Linked DNA regions of Saccharomyces cerevisiae S288C. The protein of the gene in region 1 binds, or shares a complex with, the protein of each later gene. Each region holds a gene or a part of one and is shown in the gene's direction. Other genes may lie near its edges.

Region 1 (5,248 bases):
TAATGGATTTATGTGAAATGCTTCTTTTTTCTATTACCATATATAGAAAATAGGTGTATACTATTAGTTTAATGTAATAAGCAGGACTATGACAAACCAAAGAGTGAAAGTAGCCGTTTCCACGTTTTAACGGCTTGTGTACACTTTGACAGTCAATCAGCGTAGTGACTTCTTTTATCAGCGGAAACAACCATATCCATAAAAGAAACGTGATGGTCGTTCCCGTAGTTTATTAAGTAAGATGACAAATTATCCTTCTTTAGTCAATTGAAAACAAAACTTCTTAATCTGTTTCCAATGTTTTAAAGTCGCTCATATGTTCATGACTACTTTTCCATGAGAGGGTTCTACGAAAAGCATCATCTTATTTTCGCAACGCTGCGGGTTTAGGCCTTTCCGCTGGTCTCTTTTCTGTTTACAGTTCTGCCCGAATGTAAACAAATACTTTGCGAAAAGTAAATAATGTATTCTGAAAAAAAAAAAGAGAACTGTGAACAATGCTTGATAGTTGTAGGAATATCTTAGAAGAAAGGGGATAGATTATCTGGAAAATCGTTTGAATAAAATAAGAACCAGTAATTCATTCGTTTAAATTGGAAAAACAAAACATAAAAGAACCAGCAATGTCTTGGTTGCCTGTTAATGTAAAAAGTTCTCCCAAAAGATGACAGGAAACTCGTTAACTCATACTCGGTATATAAGAGGAAACTTATCTAATGTTTCATTCATTCTTCCTCTTCTGCTTATTCGATGTCTATTGAAAAACTTCAAGTAAACCAGCAATATCGACTTCCATTAAGTAGACAGCGAGCCTGAAACAAAGAATATACTGTTTCAATTCCAACTAAAGCCACTCCCTCAAGCGTTATTATTTTTTGAATTATATTTTCGGGTTTTAAGCTAACTCTAGTCATTCCTTACTACATTTTATTGTAACTCTTCAGTAGAGCTAACCACAGTCATTCCTTAATATTTTTTAACACAGATCTCTTTCACAGAGTAGAAATAAAGCCACTCCTTTAACAAATTACAAAGAAATGAAATTTAATTTTTCTACAATTTTCAATATCTTATTCTTTTTATTCACCTTAATTGAAGCCAACAGCAATGGGGAAACAGTCAAACTTATTACTTCTGATGGTATTGTTTACAGTTATGCTGTCTACACAAAGACTCTTGCGCCGGCAAGGGTTGTGGTTAAAACGATTTCATATACTACTACAAGGGTATATCCGATTACTTTAGCTAATTCCGTCGTTTCTTCCACTACTGAAAAGATAACAGAGGTTTCAACGGTGTCAGCTTCAGAACAAGTTAGTGCTACTCAAACAAACTCATTGGTTTCTACTTCTACTGTTTCCACTATCAGTCCAACGATTTCATCTGGTTCTTCAACATCCTCTAGCTCTACATACGATATCGAATCATCTCAAAGTATCGAATCGTCAGGTACATCTTCCGCTACAGCCGAACCATCTGCGTCTTCAGGTTTTCGTTTGACTTCTAGTTCTGCTTTTGTTTCATCTACTGCACCTTTCTCTTCCCAACTTTCTTCATCTTCATCTTCTGAAACATCATCCTCATCATTTTCAACATCATCATCATCTGCCCCTCTTTCCTTAACTTCTTCTTCTTCTTCTTCTTCTTCTTTCGCCACTATTATTACCTTGGCACCATCGAGCTCAAAAAGCGGAAACTCTCAACTAACTTTGGCGTCATCGTCTTCCACTTCCGCAGTTGAGTCATCCCAAACAGGGTCCACTATAGCAAGAACTACCTCTACACTGGTACCCTCTTCTAGCGTAGATACAACGTCTAGAGCAACGACATCCATGCCATTAGAATCGTCTTCTACGCAATCGATATCCGTCTCCAGCTCGGATGGCACTTGTTACGTTTTTTATGATGATGATGACTACTATAGTACTGTCTACTTAACTAACCCGTCTCAATCCGTTGATGCCGCCACCACTATAACTAGTACAAACACAATTTATGCTACGGTTACCATTTAGCGCTTAGGCATAATGGTGGTGCATTCTTTTCTATTTGTTTTCTCAGGCGTATTTTTTCCATTATTTTTTGTTAAAAATAGTAAAAAGACAGTATTATTTATTCATTTTTCCTCGTGTTGTTATAACGACTAAGTTTCCTAATTTCTTTATTTTGTTTTTTTCTCATGATCTTTTCATTTTGTAGTTTCAACTATTATATACAATGTGTATACTATAACTTAATTTTATTAGTTACCTCTTACTAAGGATACTGATTCTTCCCCACTCATTTCATGAATTCATCACAAGTCTTTAGTATTTTTCATATGGAAATTACATCACCTATATATATCAAAATGTTCCGGCGAGTACATTGTCAGAATCTACAGTTTTTCCTGATATGAGCAGTGATATGGAGAAAGAGACACTAAATAAGAACAAAATATTGCCGTAGATTTAATGATTCAATCATGTGTGTCAAATTTGTTCTCCATTGCATCTTCCTATTTGACATTTGTCTCATGACCACGACATTGTACATTACCAGGTAAGGCTACAATTAGCCTCACCGATGTAACGTTATATAACGCTGCGGTCGTAGAATATGATTTTTCTGAATTTTAATTTTTTTTTTTTTTTTTTTCATTTCTTTAACATCTAAAATAGATTTTAGAATCAGAAAAGTGAAGAGTATTCCACATCATCGACTTATTCTACCAACATTTAATAAGAACGTACCCAAGAATAAAAGTCCACAAGTATAACAATGTCTCGCGAAGGGTTCCAGATTCCAACAAATTTAGACGCCGCAGCTGCAGGTACTTCTCAAGCTAGAACGGCAACTTTGAAGTATATTTGTGCTGAATGTTCTAGTAAATTATCTTTATCCAGAACTGATGCAGTCCGTTGTAAGGACTGTGGTCATAGAATCCTGTTGAAGGCTAGGACTAAGAGATTGGTTCAATTTGAAGCTAGATGAATGGAGAGACTGAAAACCATAATGGGTTACCGGGGCAGAATAATACGAAATAAAGAACCTAGGTTTTCCAAGGTTTTTGCAATATATAAACTTGTGCTTGATTTAAGTTTATGCAGCACTTTTCTTCCAGCAAATTCTTTATGTTTTTTTAAGGGAAAACGTATATCACTTAGAGATTATATTAATGAAAAAAGGTGTATACAAATGTATAATAATAATAGTATATAAGAAAAGTATTCGCTATTTATAGTGATTTTAGTTTGTACAATGTACTGTATTTTTTTTAAATGTAGTATTTTATATATATGTTACATTAGTTCGAACTGAAAAGGAACTTATGAATTAAATCATCACAATTCTTGGTTCTTCCGTAAAGCTGAATTGCCGGACGGTTATTCCCGCATTCTTCAAGACCTTGAAACTTTCCTCGTCCATTCTATAACTTTGGCTATAAACTACTTCACTGATGCCTGTTTGAACAATCTTTACAGAACATGTTAAGCAAGGGCAAGTATCACAGTATAAGGTCGCATTTTGACCTACACGATCCCTGCCAGCTTCCAGTAGTGCATTCTCTTCTGCATGTAAGCATAAGCAAGTGTGCAGATTTCTAGAATCACCGTCATTGCAACGTGGGCAACCGCCATTGAAACAATTTGTTAAATGTCGAGGAGTCCCATTATAGCCAGTAGCAATCACTCTGCATTCTCTCACAATCACGCAACCAACTCTACGTTTCATGCAATTGGAACGAGATGCTGCTAGTGTGGCTAACTTCATAAAATAGCTATCCCAACTAGGCCTCATTAATGGAGCCATTTGTTTCTCTTTGTCATCGAGAATCTTTAATTGTGTGGTAATGTTATTAATCAAGCTCTGTCTCCTTCCTCTGCGGTCCTCATTAACTATTTTAAATCTCAAATGGGATTTCTCCCTTAATTTGATGCCTTCAGGCTGAAAGTCATGTTGATCAATGGCTTGTATTATTTGTTCTAATGATAAGCTTTCTGCTTGAGTCGTTTTCCTGTATAATGCTACCCTTGTAGTGACAGGAGCGTCGATAGAAAGATGAACAAAAAATGGTCTCTTTTCCAGTTTCTCCAGTAATGATAATTTTTCTAGGAATATAACTGAATTTTTTGTGTAATTTTTCGTAGCATAATCTAATATCTCCTCTGGATTATCTAGGTGATTGAGTAATTCAAAATGAAAATGATCAACCAACATGTTAATAACATCTTCGCATCCGCAAAATTTCGTACCACTTACACCAATTAACATAATCGTGTTATATTGATTAGTGTAGCATTCACACCTTTAATGTGCCAAAAAAAGATGTTGAATTCTATGGTAATGCAGAAGTTTCAATTCTCGAGATTGCCTACATCATCTCATAACTGCGTACCGCGCGTTCTTGCAAAGAACAAAAAAGTGAAAAAATTATAATGGGGCGAGCTGGGAATTGAACCCAGGGCCTCTCGCATGCTTTGTCTTCCTGTTTAGGCAGGAAGTCGCCCAAAGCGAGAATCATACCACTAGACCACACGCCCATGTATCTGTTGGTGTTCTAAATAAAGAATTAAACTATGTAGGCATAAAAAGAGACGGGAGCATCTTAAAGATGCAACTGGATGGAGAATGGCAAAATATGAAGAAGAAGGAAGGAAAAGAAATATTATTATGCGTAACTGTTGATTCCTTTTTGTGGATTTCTTGAGGAGAATGTCTTTTTGAAGAGTGGGTGAATTTTGAGATAATTGTTGGGATTCCATTTTTAATAAGGCAATAATATTAGGTATGTAGAATGTACTAGAAGTTCTCCTCGAGGATTTAGGAATCCATAAAAGGGAATCTGCAATTCTACACAATTCTATAAATATTATTATCATCATTTTATATGTTAATATTCATTGATCCTATTACATTATCAATCCTTGCGTTTCAGCTTCCACTAATTTAGATGACTATTTCTCATCATTTGCGTCATCTTCTAACACCGTATATGATAATATACTAGTAACGTAAATACTAGTTAGTAGATGATAGTTGATTTTTATTCCAACACTTTTATATATTCTGTATTTGATGTTATAGCTTTATCAATTACAGAATGCCAAAAATTATCAAATTATTCACCAATATCCCAAATTTTAATGCAACCGTTATGATCCGACTATTGATAAAGGAAATTCCTATTCTACATAATGTTACTGGTATTTCTTCTTCCGTTTTTTATGTCGTCATTCGTCATCCTATTGCATTATCAATCTTTGCG
Region 2 (4,625 bases), on another chromosome or scaffold:
TAACCGCAAGGTACAGATCGCAGTACACAGGATTACTCGTTGCCCGAGTATTATTCTCCACCTCTACGACCCGTGCGCAAGGTGGAAACCCTCGATCACCACTCCAGATTTTCCGCGATACATTCAAGAAGGAATGGGAGAAGTCTCAGGAACTGCAGGAGAACATAAAGACGCTGCAAGATGCTTCGGGAAAGTTAGGCGAGTCTGAGGCCTACAAAAAGGCTAGGGAAGCATATTTGAAAGCTCAGAGAGGCTCCACAATTGTGGGTAAAACTCTGAAAAAGACCGGTGAGACCATGGAACATATAGCCACTAAGGCCTGGGAGTCCGAACTCGGTAAGAACACAAGAAAGGCGGCTGCCGCCACGGCGAAGAAGCTGGATGAGAGTTTTGAGCCAGTGAGACAGACGAAGATTTACAAGGAAGTCTCAGAAGTCATTGACGATGGGGAGAGTTCCCGATACGGTGGGTTTATCACGAAAGAGCAAAGGAGACTTAAACGTGAGAGAGACCTGGCCTCTGGGAAAAGACACAGGGCAGTAAAGAGCAATGAAGATGCAGGAACAGCAGTGGTTGCGACAAATATCGAGTCTAAAGAATCGTTTGGTAAGAAAGTGGAGGATTTCAAGGAGAAAACCGTGGTTGGCCGTTCTATACAATCTTTAAAGAACAAATTGTGGGATGAAAGTGAAAACCCCTTAATTGTTGTCATGAGGAAAATAACCAACAAAGTGGGCGGTTTCTTTGCAGAAACAGAATCCTCCCGTGTTTACAGTCAATTTAAGCTAATGGACCCAACCTTTTCGAACGAAAGCTTCACCAGACACTTAAGAGAATACATTGTTCCCGAGATTCTCGAAGCGTATGTGAAAGGCGATGTCAAAGTTCTCAAAAAATGGTTCAGCGAGGCGCCATTCAATGTTTACGCCGCCCAACAGAAAATCTTCAAAGAACAGGATGTTTACGCCGATGGCCGTATCCTAGATATCAGGGGCGTTGAAATAGTGAGTGCAAAGTTATTGGCTCCCCAAGACATCCCAGTCTTGGTGGTCGGGTGTAGAGCACAAGAAATCAACCTTTACAGGAAAAAGAAAACTGGCGAGATTGCGGCTGGTGACGAAGCTAATATCTTGATGAGCTCTTATGCCATGGTTTTCACCAGAGACCCAGAGCAAATCGACGATGACGAAACAGAAGGGTGGAAGATCTTGGAGTTTGTGCGCGGGGGTTCTAGACAATTCACCTGATTGGTTTCGATGTACTCTTTTGTTTTCTTTTCCTTTTCCTTCCTATTCCGCTTGTAAATAACTCCGTTATGTCTCACCTTCGATCCCCACTTTTTCTTTTGGAATACTGCATCAAATAGGAAGAGAGAAAAAAGGAAATCATATCCCAATATATTTGAACATACGACACGATATACCTTATATAGTATCATCTGTACTAATAGTACTATAACTAATACTTCTTGACGGACAAGCTTCGCAACTCGTTCGCAATGACCAAGTTTGGCTTTCGGGAAGCAAAGTGGAAAAAAATGAAAAATAAACTAATTGAAGTGGTAAAAAATAAGCTGTGTGTGTGCATATACATCGTAAGTGCGTTGGCTGTTCTGTGGAAAAGGGAGACACTTTTTATATCAGGTGCAAAGGCTTCGTACCAGCGTTGAAAAACTAAAACAATATTGAAAAATGAGTGAAGAAGGTCCTCAAGTTAAAATAAGAGAAGCTAGTAAAGATAACGTCGACTTTATACTATCCAATGTGGATTTGGCTATGGCCAATTCTCTCCGTAGAGTCATGATAGCAGAGATTCCCACTTTAGCCATTGATTCAGTCGAAGTCGAAACAAATACTACGGTTTTGGCCGATGAATTTATTGCACACAGATTAGGTTTAATACCTCTACAAAGTATGGATATCGAACAACTAGAATACAGTCGTGATTGTTTTTGTGAGGACCACTGTGATAAGTGTTCAGTGGTGTTAACATTGCAAGCGTTCGGCGAAAGCGAAAGTACTACAAACGTCTACAGCAAGGACTTGGTAATTGTGTCTAATCTCATGGGCCGTAATATTGGGCATCCTATTATACAAGATAAAGAAGGTAACGGTGTTCTTATTTGTAAATTGAGAAAAGGTCAAGAATTGAAACTGACATGCGTTGCGAAAAAGGGTATAGCCAAAGAGCACGCCAAGTGGGGTCCAGCAGCAGCCATAGAGTTCGAGTATGATCCTTGGAATAAGCTCAAACATACCGATTACTGGTATGAACAGGATTCTGCCAAAGAATGGCCTCAGTCTAAAAATTGTGAATACGAAGATCCTCCAAACGAAGGTGACCCCTTCGATTATAAGGCTCAGGCAGATACATTTTATATGAATGTAGAATCTGTGGGGTCTATTCCCGTTGATCAAGTTGTCGTCAGAGGTATCGATACATTACAGAAAAAGGTTGCCTCAATATTGTTAGCTCTGACACAGATGGATCAAGACAAAGTTAATTTTGCATCGGGTGATAACAACACCGCTTCAAATATGCTGGGAAGTAACGAAGACGTAATGATGACGGGCGCTGAGCAAGATCCTTACTCCAATGCATCTCAAATGGGTAATACTGGATCAGGAGGGTATGATAATGCTTGGTAGTTCTCAAGTGGGCGTAATAGAGGAAAAAAAACAAGTGAACGAACCGAAAATAATAAGAGAAAAAAAGCTTTATATGCATGTATGTATCATTATGATTAGTATTATAAGTATTATAATCTAAAGTACGAAGCAAACAAAAAAGAAAAAAGAAAATGAAAAAATGAAAGGAAGGGCTAACCTTGCTTTTCATTCCATCTACAGCAGTCTTCAAACTTAACTAGGTTACCACCAAATATATCTAAGGAACTACCGAATGTCAAATCTACTTTTCCGTGACTTAGTTCGTCTACTAATTTCAAATCATCAACACTTTTGGCCCCACCAGCATAAACGATTTTCAAATCATCGTAATCTTTGGTCCATTCGAAAAGCTTAGAAACCAATAATTCATCGATACCACCACACAAACCTTCAACGTCTGCAGCGTGAATTAGAAACTCATTTGTATATTTCCTCAATTCTCTGAAAGTGTCAGCATTAAGCTCAAGATCAGTTAGAGTTTGCCATTTGTTCATGGCCACAATCCAACGACCGTCCTGGGTTTTTCTACAGCTTAAGTCTACAACAATGCGGTCTTTCCCACATAGTTCTGTCAGTCTTTCTAACCTTTTTAATTGAAAATGACCCTCTTTTGTAAATAGCCAACTCGTAACAATTACTTTACTGGCCCATTTTAACCATTCCAAACAGTTCGTATCATTAATTCCTCCGCCCACTTGTAGAAATTGTGGTGACTCCTGGAGTGCCTCGCGTGCAGCGTCGTCATTGTTAGGTCCCAACTTAATAACATGACATCCTTGGACATCTCTGTCTTTGTAAAGTTTAGCGTAATATGAAGAAGGATGTTGTGATACAAAGTTAGTTTTTGGAACGTCCTCCTTTTTGCTCGTTAACGTTCCACCTACAATCTGTTTAACCTCTCCATTATGCAGGTCTATACAACCAATAAACTTCGTCATTTTTTTCTAGTATATACCCCCAGCCTTCTTATGCGCAGTTTCGAAGATATTGTGAATTTGCAGGCGAGGATTCTCAAATTATTCCGTATGACTCTGCACACTAGACATGGCTCAATCTTGGCAATGGACCCTGTGCTGAATTTTCGTCATTCGTCTCATGCGACCGTTCCGTTCCTAGAAAAATTTTGAGCGATGAGATGAGTATACATTAACGATGGCAGGAACAGTTATAACAATATTGAGAGTACAAATGACCCAAAAGCCATAAAAAGATGACCCTTGATGATGACGACTATATAAAACAAATGGAGCTTCAAAGAAAAGCTTTTGAAAGTCAGTTCGGATCTTTAGAGTCCATGGGGTTCGAAGATAAAACAAAAAATATACGAACTGAAGTAGATACCAGAGACAGTTCAGGTGATGAAATTGACAATTCCGATCATGGTAGTGATTTCAAGGATGGTACTATAGAAAGTTCTAATTCTTCTGATGAAGATAGCGGTAACGAAACCGCGGAAGAAAATAATCAAGATTCCAAACCGAAAACTCAACCAAAGGTCATTAGATTCAACGGGCCTAGTGACGTTTATGTTCCTCCAAGTAAGAAGACACAGAAACTTTTGAGAAGCGGCAAAACTTTAACTCAAATAAACAAAAAATTGGAGAGTACTGAAGCCAAGGAAGAAAAAGAAGATGAGACTTTGGAGGCGGAAAATTTACAAAACGACCTGGAGTTGCAGCAATTTCTGAGAGAGTCTCACTTATTGAGCGCTTTCAATAACGGTGGAAGTGGTTCTACAAACAGTGGTGTATCGTTGACTCTACAGAGTATGGGTGGTGGAAATGATGATGGCATAGTATACCAGGATGATCAAGTTATTGGGAAGGCCAGATCGCGTACACTCGAAATGAGACTGAATAGACTCTCAAGGGTGAATGGTCATCAGGACAAAATAAATAAGCTGGAAAAAGTACCCATGCATATTAGAAGAGGAATGATCGACAAGCACGTCAAGAG
Region 3 (5,209 bases), on another chromosome or scaffold:
TCTTTAAAATTTGATAATTAATGGCACGCTTACCATCACCTGAGACATTTTCAGCCAATTCCGCCAATTTTCCTTCCCTTGCAGCAATAACAGCATTCTTATGAGCCTCTTTACGAGATATTTTCTTGTCTTGTTTACCTCTCTGAACCTGTTGATAATAATCGTTCTCGCCTTGAGTGTTGATGCTCCTAGACACAGCTTCATCTTCAGAACCGTAATCCTTATCGTCTAGGTCAGCACCATTATTATCATGCATACCACGTTTACGAGCTTCATCCAACAGACGTTGCTGCCTTTCAAATAAACGTTCCTTATATGGAATATCATCATCACCTTTGAATCTATCCGTCTTTTTATTTTCTTGTTGATCAATTTTCGAAGTATAGAAACGCAAAGTTCTTCTACGAGCTTTTTTGTCTTGTGCGTCCACATCAGCAATCTCAGATTCAATGAAATCATCAGCTTCAGGCATTGATGATGTTTTCGGTTTAGAATGCAGACGTGATTGTGCTACGTACTCTTCAAAATCGTCAATATCAACATCTTCTTCTTCTTCTTCTTCATCGCTTTCTCTTTCTTCTTCATCAATTTCTTGCTTTTGTTTTCCTCCATCCTCTGCATCAGAATCTTCACTGTTTTGCAACTCATTCAGCTTCTTTTCGTTAAAGGCCTCAATGTTTGCGGTTTCTTCACTTTCAGAACCATCTCCTTCATTCACATCAAAACTAGATGGCAATTCGCTGGCTTGCCTCCAAATCTCTTTTGTCGTTAAAATCTTTTCCATGACCGGATGTCCCTTCATAGATGTGAAATCTTCATTATTATGGAGTTCGTGCAACAAGATACTATAGTAACATGATATTGTGCCTAGGTAACTTCCAAGTGCAATTAGCTTTAATTTATTGAACTCATTTTCCTCAGATTTCTTTAATTCGTCAAACTTTGGAGCTAATTCTGTGAATTCTTTTGAAAGTGGAGCAAATTCAGGAAACATTGTCCTTAAATAGTTATCCCTTGCTTCGTCATCCATATTTAGAATATCCGTTATGGAAGTTTTAGTATCAGCCTGCTTGGTCGAGTTCTTAAATTCACCCATGTCAAATTCTTTGGCACTTTTGACCCACTCTTCTTCTTCTTCTTCATCTAAGTAATCGTTCATATTAAGTTCTTCCAGATGCTTCTTTTGTTGTCGTAAAGCTTCCTTTTCTATTTCCTTAGCAGCTTCGTCATCATCTAAATCATCAGCCCCATAATATTCTCCTTTTGTGGACCCCCAGGCATTCTCGTTGTCTAACATACCATTCTCTTCATCTTCCTCAGGAAGCTGGTCAGTTTCTAAGTTTCTACCAAATATTTTCTTATAGGCTGCAGCACCATCTAGTTCCTCTTCCTCTTCTTCTTCCTCATCTTCTCTTTCATCTATTGACTCATCATCTTCATCCATGGCTAAGACTTCTTCCTCATCTTCGTCTTCTAACAGAGAATGGTCATCATCTTTATTACTGTCGCCAAAGGTGGATTGTCCAAGTAAAACCTTTTCCCTTTTAGAAGCAAAATCATCAACTTCGTTTAAACCATACGGATTAATCTCATCCCCAACTTCAGAGGTCTTAGTTCTGTTTGAGCCTTTGCGTACCATATTATTCTATACACCCACTCTAATATGTTTTCTCTTCCTCCAAAACTTTTTGTATAAAAGCATCAGTGAGATGAGCTATGATGAGATGAGCTTCATTATTGAATTTTTTTTCATTGCAGAAGCGCAGTTTGAAAATTTTTCATCCGCCCTGCAAAGTCCAATTTTTTGATCAGCAGAAGATAATGACCAGAGAATTATGGTATTCAAGAGAACAATTCAAAAGAGGACAGCTAGAAAGATATTGAGGTATTTATAATTTGCTAGACTAACCGAAAGTCGAAGCGTAATCTTGTTTTTTATTAAGCGGGATAGCATTCATTAAGTATGAGCAGTAATAAAGGAAATGGGCGCTTGCCATCATTAAAAGATTCCTCCTCCAATGGAGGAGGATCTGCCAAGCCCTCATTAAAGTTTAAACCAAAAGCAGTTGCAAGAAAGTCCAAGGAAGAAAGAGAAGCAGCTGCGTCCAAAGTAAAGCTAGAGGAGGAATCTAAGAGAGGTAATGACAAGAAACATTTCAATAACAAGAATAAAAGAGTAACCGGCGCTGGCGGCCAGCAAAGGCGAATGGCCAAATACTTAAATAACACACACGTTATCTCTAGCGGTCCATTGGCGGCTGGGAACTTTGTAAGTGAGAAGGGTGATTTGAGAAGAGGATTCATCAAATCAGAAGGAAGCGGGTCATCTCTTGTGCAAAAGGGCCTGGAAACTATTGACAATGGTGCTGAGAGCTCTGAGAATGAGGCAGAAGACGATGATAATGAAGGTGTAGCGTCCAAATCTAAGAAGAAGTTCAATATGGGAAAAGAATTCGAGGCACGCAATCTCATAGAGGACGAAGATGACGGCGAAAGTGAAAAGAGCAGTGACGTCGACATGGATGACGAAGAATGGAGATCTAAACGGATTGAACAGTTATTCCCTGTGAGACCTGTCCGCGTAAGACACGAAGACGTTGAAACTGTCAAAAGAGAAATACAAGAAGCTCTTTCAGAAAAGCCAACTCGTGAACCAACCCCCAGTGTGAAGACAGAGCCTGTCGGAACCGGATTACAATCTTATTTGGAAGAAAGAGAAAGGCAAGTCAATGAGAAACTGGCAGATCTTGGACTTGAAAAGGAGTTTCAATCGGTTGATGGGAAAGAAGCGGCCGCTGAGTTGGAATTATTAAATGCAGATCATCAGCATATATTACGAAAACTAAAGAAAATGAATAATAAACCAGAAAGATTCATGGTATTCCAGTTACCTACTAGGTTACCAGCTTTTGAAAGACCCGCTGTGAAAGAAGAAAAAGAAGACATGGAAACCCAGGCTAGCGACCCTTCAAAGAAGAAGAAGAATATTAAAAAGAAGGACACGAAGGATGCTTTGTCTACTAGAGAACTTGCCGGCAAGGTTGGGTCTATACGGGTTCACAAATCTGGAAAACTTTCCGTGAAAATTGGAAATGTGGTGATGGATATTGGCAAAGGTGCCGAAACCACATTTTTACAAGATGTTATAGCATTAAGTATCGCTGATGATGCATCCTCAGCGGAACTTCTAGGCCGTGTGGACGGTAAAATAGTAGTCACACCTCAAATCTAATCGCACTCGCATCTGTCGAGTATATAAATGAATATACACAGTCATAAATACTTCTAGAACAAATTACACTAATTAAGATGCTTAGATTCCCATTCAAAAGGTACTATTGACGTCTTGTCTTCTACAATTTCTCATCCTCTTTGAACATTGGTAATGTTATTCTAGTTATTGTTACCCAGTTTCGGAACTTTAGGGGAGCCACACTTTAAACAAAAAGAAGCGCCATAACCACCGTGAAGTAATGAGTATCTCACTTTGATAAGAAGACATTTAAGAACAGCCTGAAATATCAAAATCACGGAATTATTAGGTTATGGAGAGAGATGAATACCAGTTACCCAACTCTCATGGGAAGAATACTTTCTTATCGCGAATATTTGGTTTACAATCGGATGAAGTTAATCCTTCTCTTAATAGCCAGGAGATGAGCAACTTCCCTTTACCAGACATAGAGAGAGGCTCATCTTTATTGCATTCTACTAACGACAGCCGCGAAGATGTAGATGAGAATGACTTACGTGTTCCTGAGTCTGACCAAGGCACTAGTACAGAAGAAGAGGATGAAGTAGATGAAGAGCAAGTCCAGGCGTATGCTCCACAGATTAGTGATGGATTGGATGGAGACCACCAGCTAAATTCTGTAACGAGCAAAGAAAATGTACTTGAAACGGAAAAAAGCAATTTAGAAAGACTGGTTGAAGGCTCTACCGATGATTCTGTGCCCAAAGTCGGACAGCTTTCGTCAGAAGAAGAAGAGGATAATGAGTTCATAAATAATGATGGATTTGATGACGATACGCCCCTTTTTCAAAAAAGCAAGATTCATGAATTTAGCTCTAAGAAAAGCAATACTATAGAGGACGGTAAACGACCTTTGTTTTTCAGGCATATCTTACAGAATAACCGCCCTCAACGTGATACCCAAAAGCTATTTACTTCGTCGAACGCCATTCACCATGATAAGGACAAGAGTGCAAATAATGGTCCCCGTAACATTAATGGTAATCAAAAGCATGGCACTAAATACTTTGGTAGTGCTACACAACCTCGGTTTACCGGTTCGCCCTTAAATAATACAAACAGGTTCACTAAATTGTTTCCATTAAGAAAGCCAAATTTACTGAGCAATATATCCGTTTTAAACAATACCCCGGAAGATAGAATCAATACGTTGAGCGTGAAAGAGCGGGCTCTGTGGAAATGGGCAAACGTAGAAAACCTCGATATATTTCTTCAAGATGTTTACAATTATTATCTGGGAAATGGGTTCTATTGCATCATACTGGAAAAAATATTGAATATATGCACTTTGCTTTTTGTTGTTTTTGTTTCTACATATATGGGTCACTGTGTTGACTACTCCAAATTACCGACTAGTCACCGGGTTTCGGATATTATTATCGACAAGTGTTATTCTAATAGTATAACGGGGTTCACAAAGTTTTTCCTTTGGATGTTTTATTTCTTCGTGATTCTCAAAATTGTTCAACTCTACTTTGATGTTCAAAAATTATCAGAATTACAAAACTTTTACAAGTATCTTTTAAATATATCGGATGACGAACTTCAAACTTTGCCCTGGCAAAATGTGATACAGCAGCTAATGTACTTGAAGGATCAAAACGCTATGACGGCAAATGTTGTGGAAGTCAAAGCCAAGAATAGAATCGACGCGCATGACGTTGCCAATAGAATCATGAGAAGAGAAAACTATCTCATAGCACTTTACAATAGCGACATCCTGAATTTATCCTTGCCTATTCCATTATTTAGGACCAACGTTCTGACAAAAACACTAGAATGGAATATTAATTTATGCGTCATGGGCTTTGTGTTCAACGAGTCCGGATTTATTAAACAAAGTATTTTAAAACCTTCTCAAAGAGAATTCACGAGAGAAGAATTACAAAAAAGATTCATGCTGGCAGGATTTCTTAATATTATATTGGCACCATTTCTGGTCACATACTTTGTTTT

What was found.
Region 2: the proteins of RPC10 (region 1) and RPB3 are in contact, whole or in part, in a crystal structure (PDB 3QT1), measured with the Saccharomyces cerevisiae proteins. Residues at the interface, in NP_012013.1 of Saccharomyces cerevisiae: Arg60 (codon at 2,938), Leu64 (codon at 2,950), Val65 (codon at 2,953), Gln66 (codon at 2,956), Phe67 (codon at 2,959), Glu68 (codon at 2,962), Ala69 (codon at 2,965), Arg70 (codon at 2,968); in NP_012243.3 of Saccharomyces cerevisiae: Ile46 (codon at 1,827), Asp47 (codon at 1,830), Ser48 (codon at 1,833), Val49 (codon at 1,836), Glu50 (codon at 1,839), Val51 (codon at 1,842), Glu52 (codon at 1,845), Asn54 (codon at 1,851), Asp60 (codon at 1,869), Glu61 (codon at 1,872), Ala64 (codon at 1,881), His65 (codon at 1,884), Gly68 (codon at 1,893), Glu166 (codon at 2,187), His167 (codon at 2,190), Lys169 (codon at 2,196), Trp170 (codon at 2,199).
Region 3: RPC10 (region 1) and RPC53 share a complex: the UniProt entries of both Saccharomyces cerevisiae proteins name them as parts of the RNA polymerase III (Pol III) complex.

What each region holds. Positions count from the first base shown.
Region 1 is NC_001140.6:384,473-389,720, forward strand, and holds RPC10 (DNA-directed RNA polymerase core subunit RPC10), read left to right. Parts: upstream 1-2,760; coding exon 2,761-2,973; downstream 2,974-5,248. Other genes in the region: CHS7 (Chs7p), read left to right, coding at 1-16; DSE2 (Dse2p), read left to right, coding at 1,038-2,015; DCD1 (deoxycytidine monophosphate deaminase), read right to left, coding at 3,316-4,254. UniProt on the Saccharomyces cerevisiae protein: DNA-dependent RNA polymerases catalyze the transcription of DNA into RNA using the four ribonucleoside triphosphates as substrates.
Region 2 is NC_001141.2:311,214-315,838, forward strand, and holds RPB3 (DNA-directed RNA polymerase II core subunit RPB3), read left to right. Parts: upstream 1-1,691; coding exon 1,692-2,648; downstream 2,649-4,625. Other genes in the region: protein translocase subunit TIM44, read left to right, coding at 1-1,247; 1-(5-phosphoribosyl)-5- ((5-phosphoribosylamino)methylideneamino)imidazole-4-carboxamide isomerase HIS6, read right to left, coding at 2,822-3,607; FAF1 (Faf1p), read left to right, coding at 3,880-4,625. UniProt on the Saccharomyces cerevisiae protein: DNA-dependent RNA polymerase catalyzes the transcription of DNA into RNA using the four ribonucleoside triphosphates as substrates. Component of RNA polymerase II which synthesizes mRNA precursors and many functional non-coding RNAs.
Region 3 is NC_001136.10:181,380-186,588, forward strand, and holds RPC53 (DNA-directed RNA polymerase III subunit C53), read left to right. Parts: upstream 1-1,963; coding exon 1,964-3,232; downstream 3,233-5,209. Other genes in the region: rRNA-processing protein SAS10, read right to left, coding at 1-1,639; autophagy protein ATG9, read left to right, coding at 3,546-5,209. UniProt on the Saccharomyces cerevisiae protein: DNA-dependent RNA polymerase catalyzes the transcription of DNA into RNA using the four ribonucleoside triphosphates as substrates. Specific peripheric component of RNA polymerase III which synthesizes small RNAs, such as 5S rRNA and tRNAs.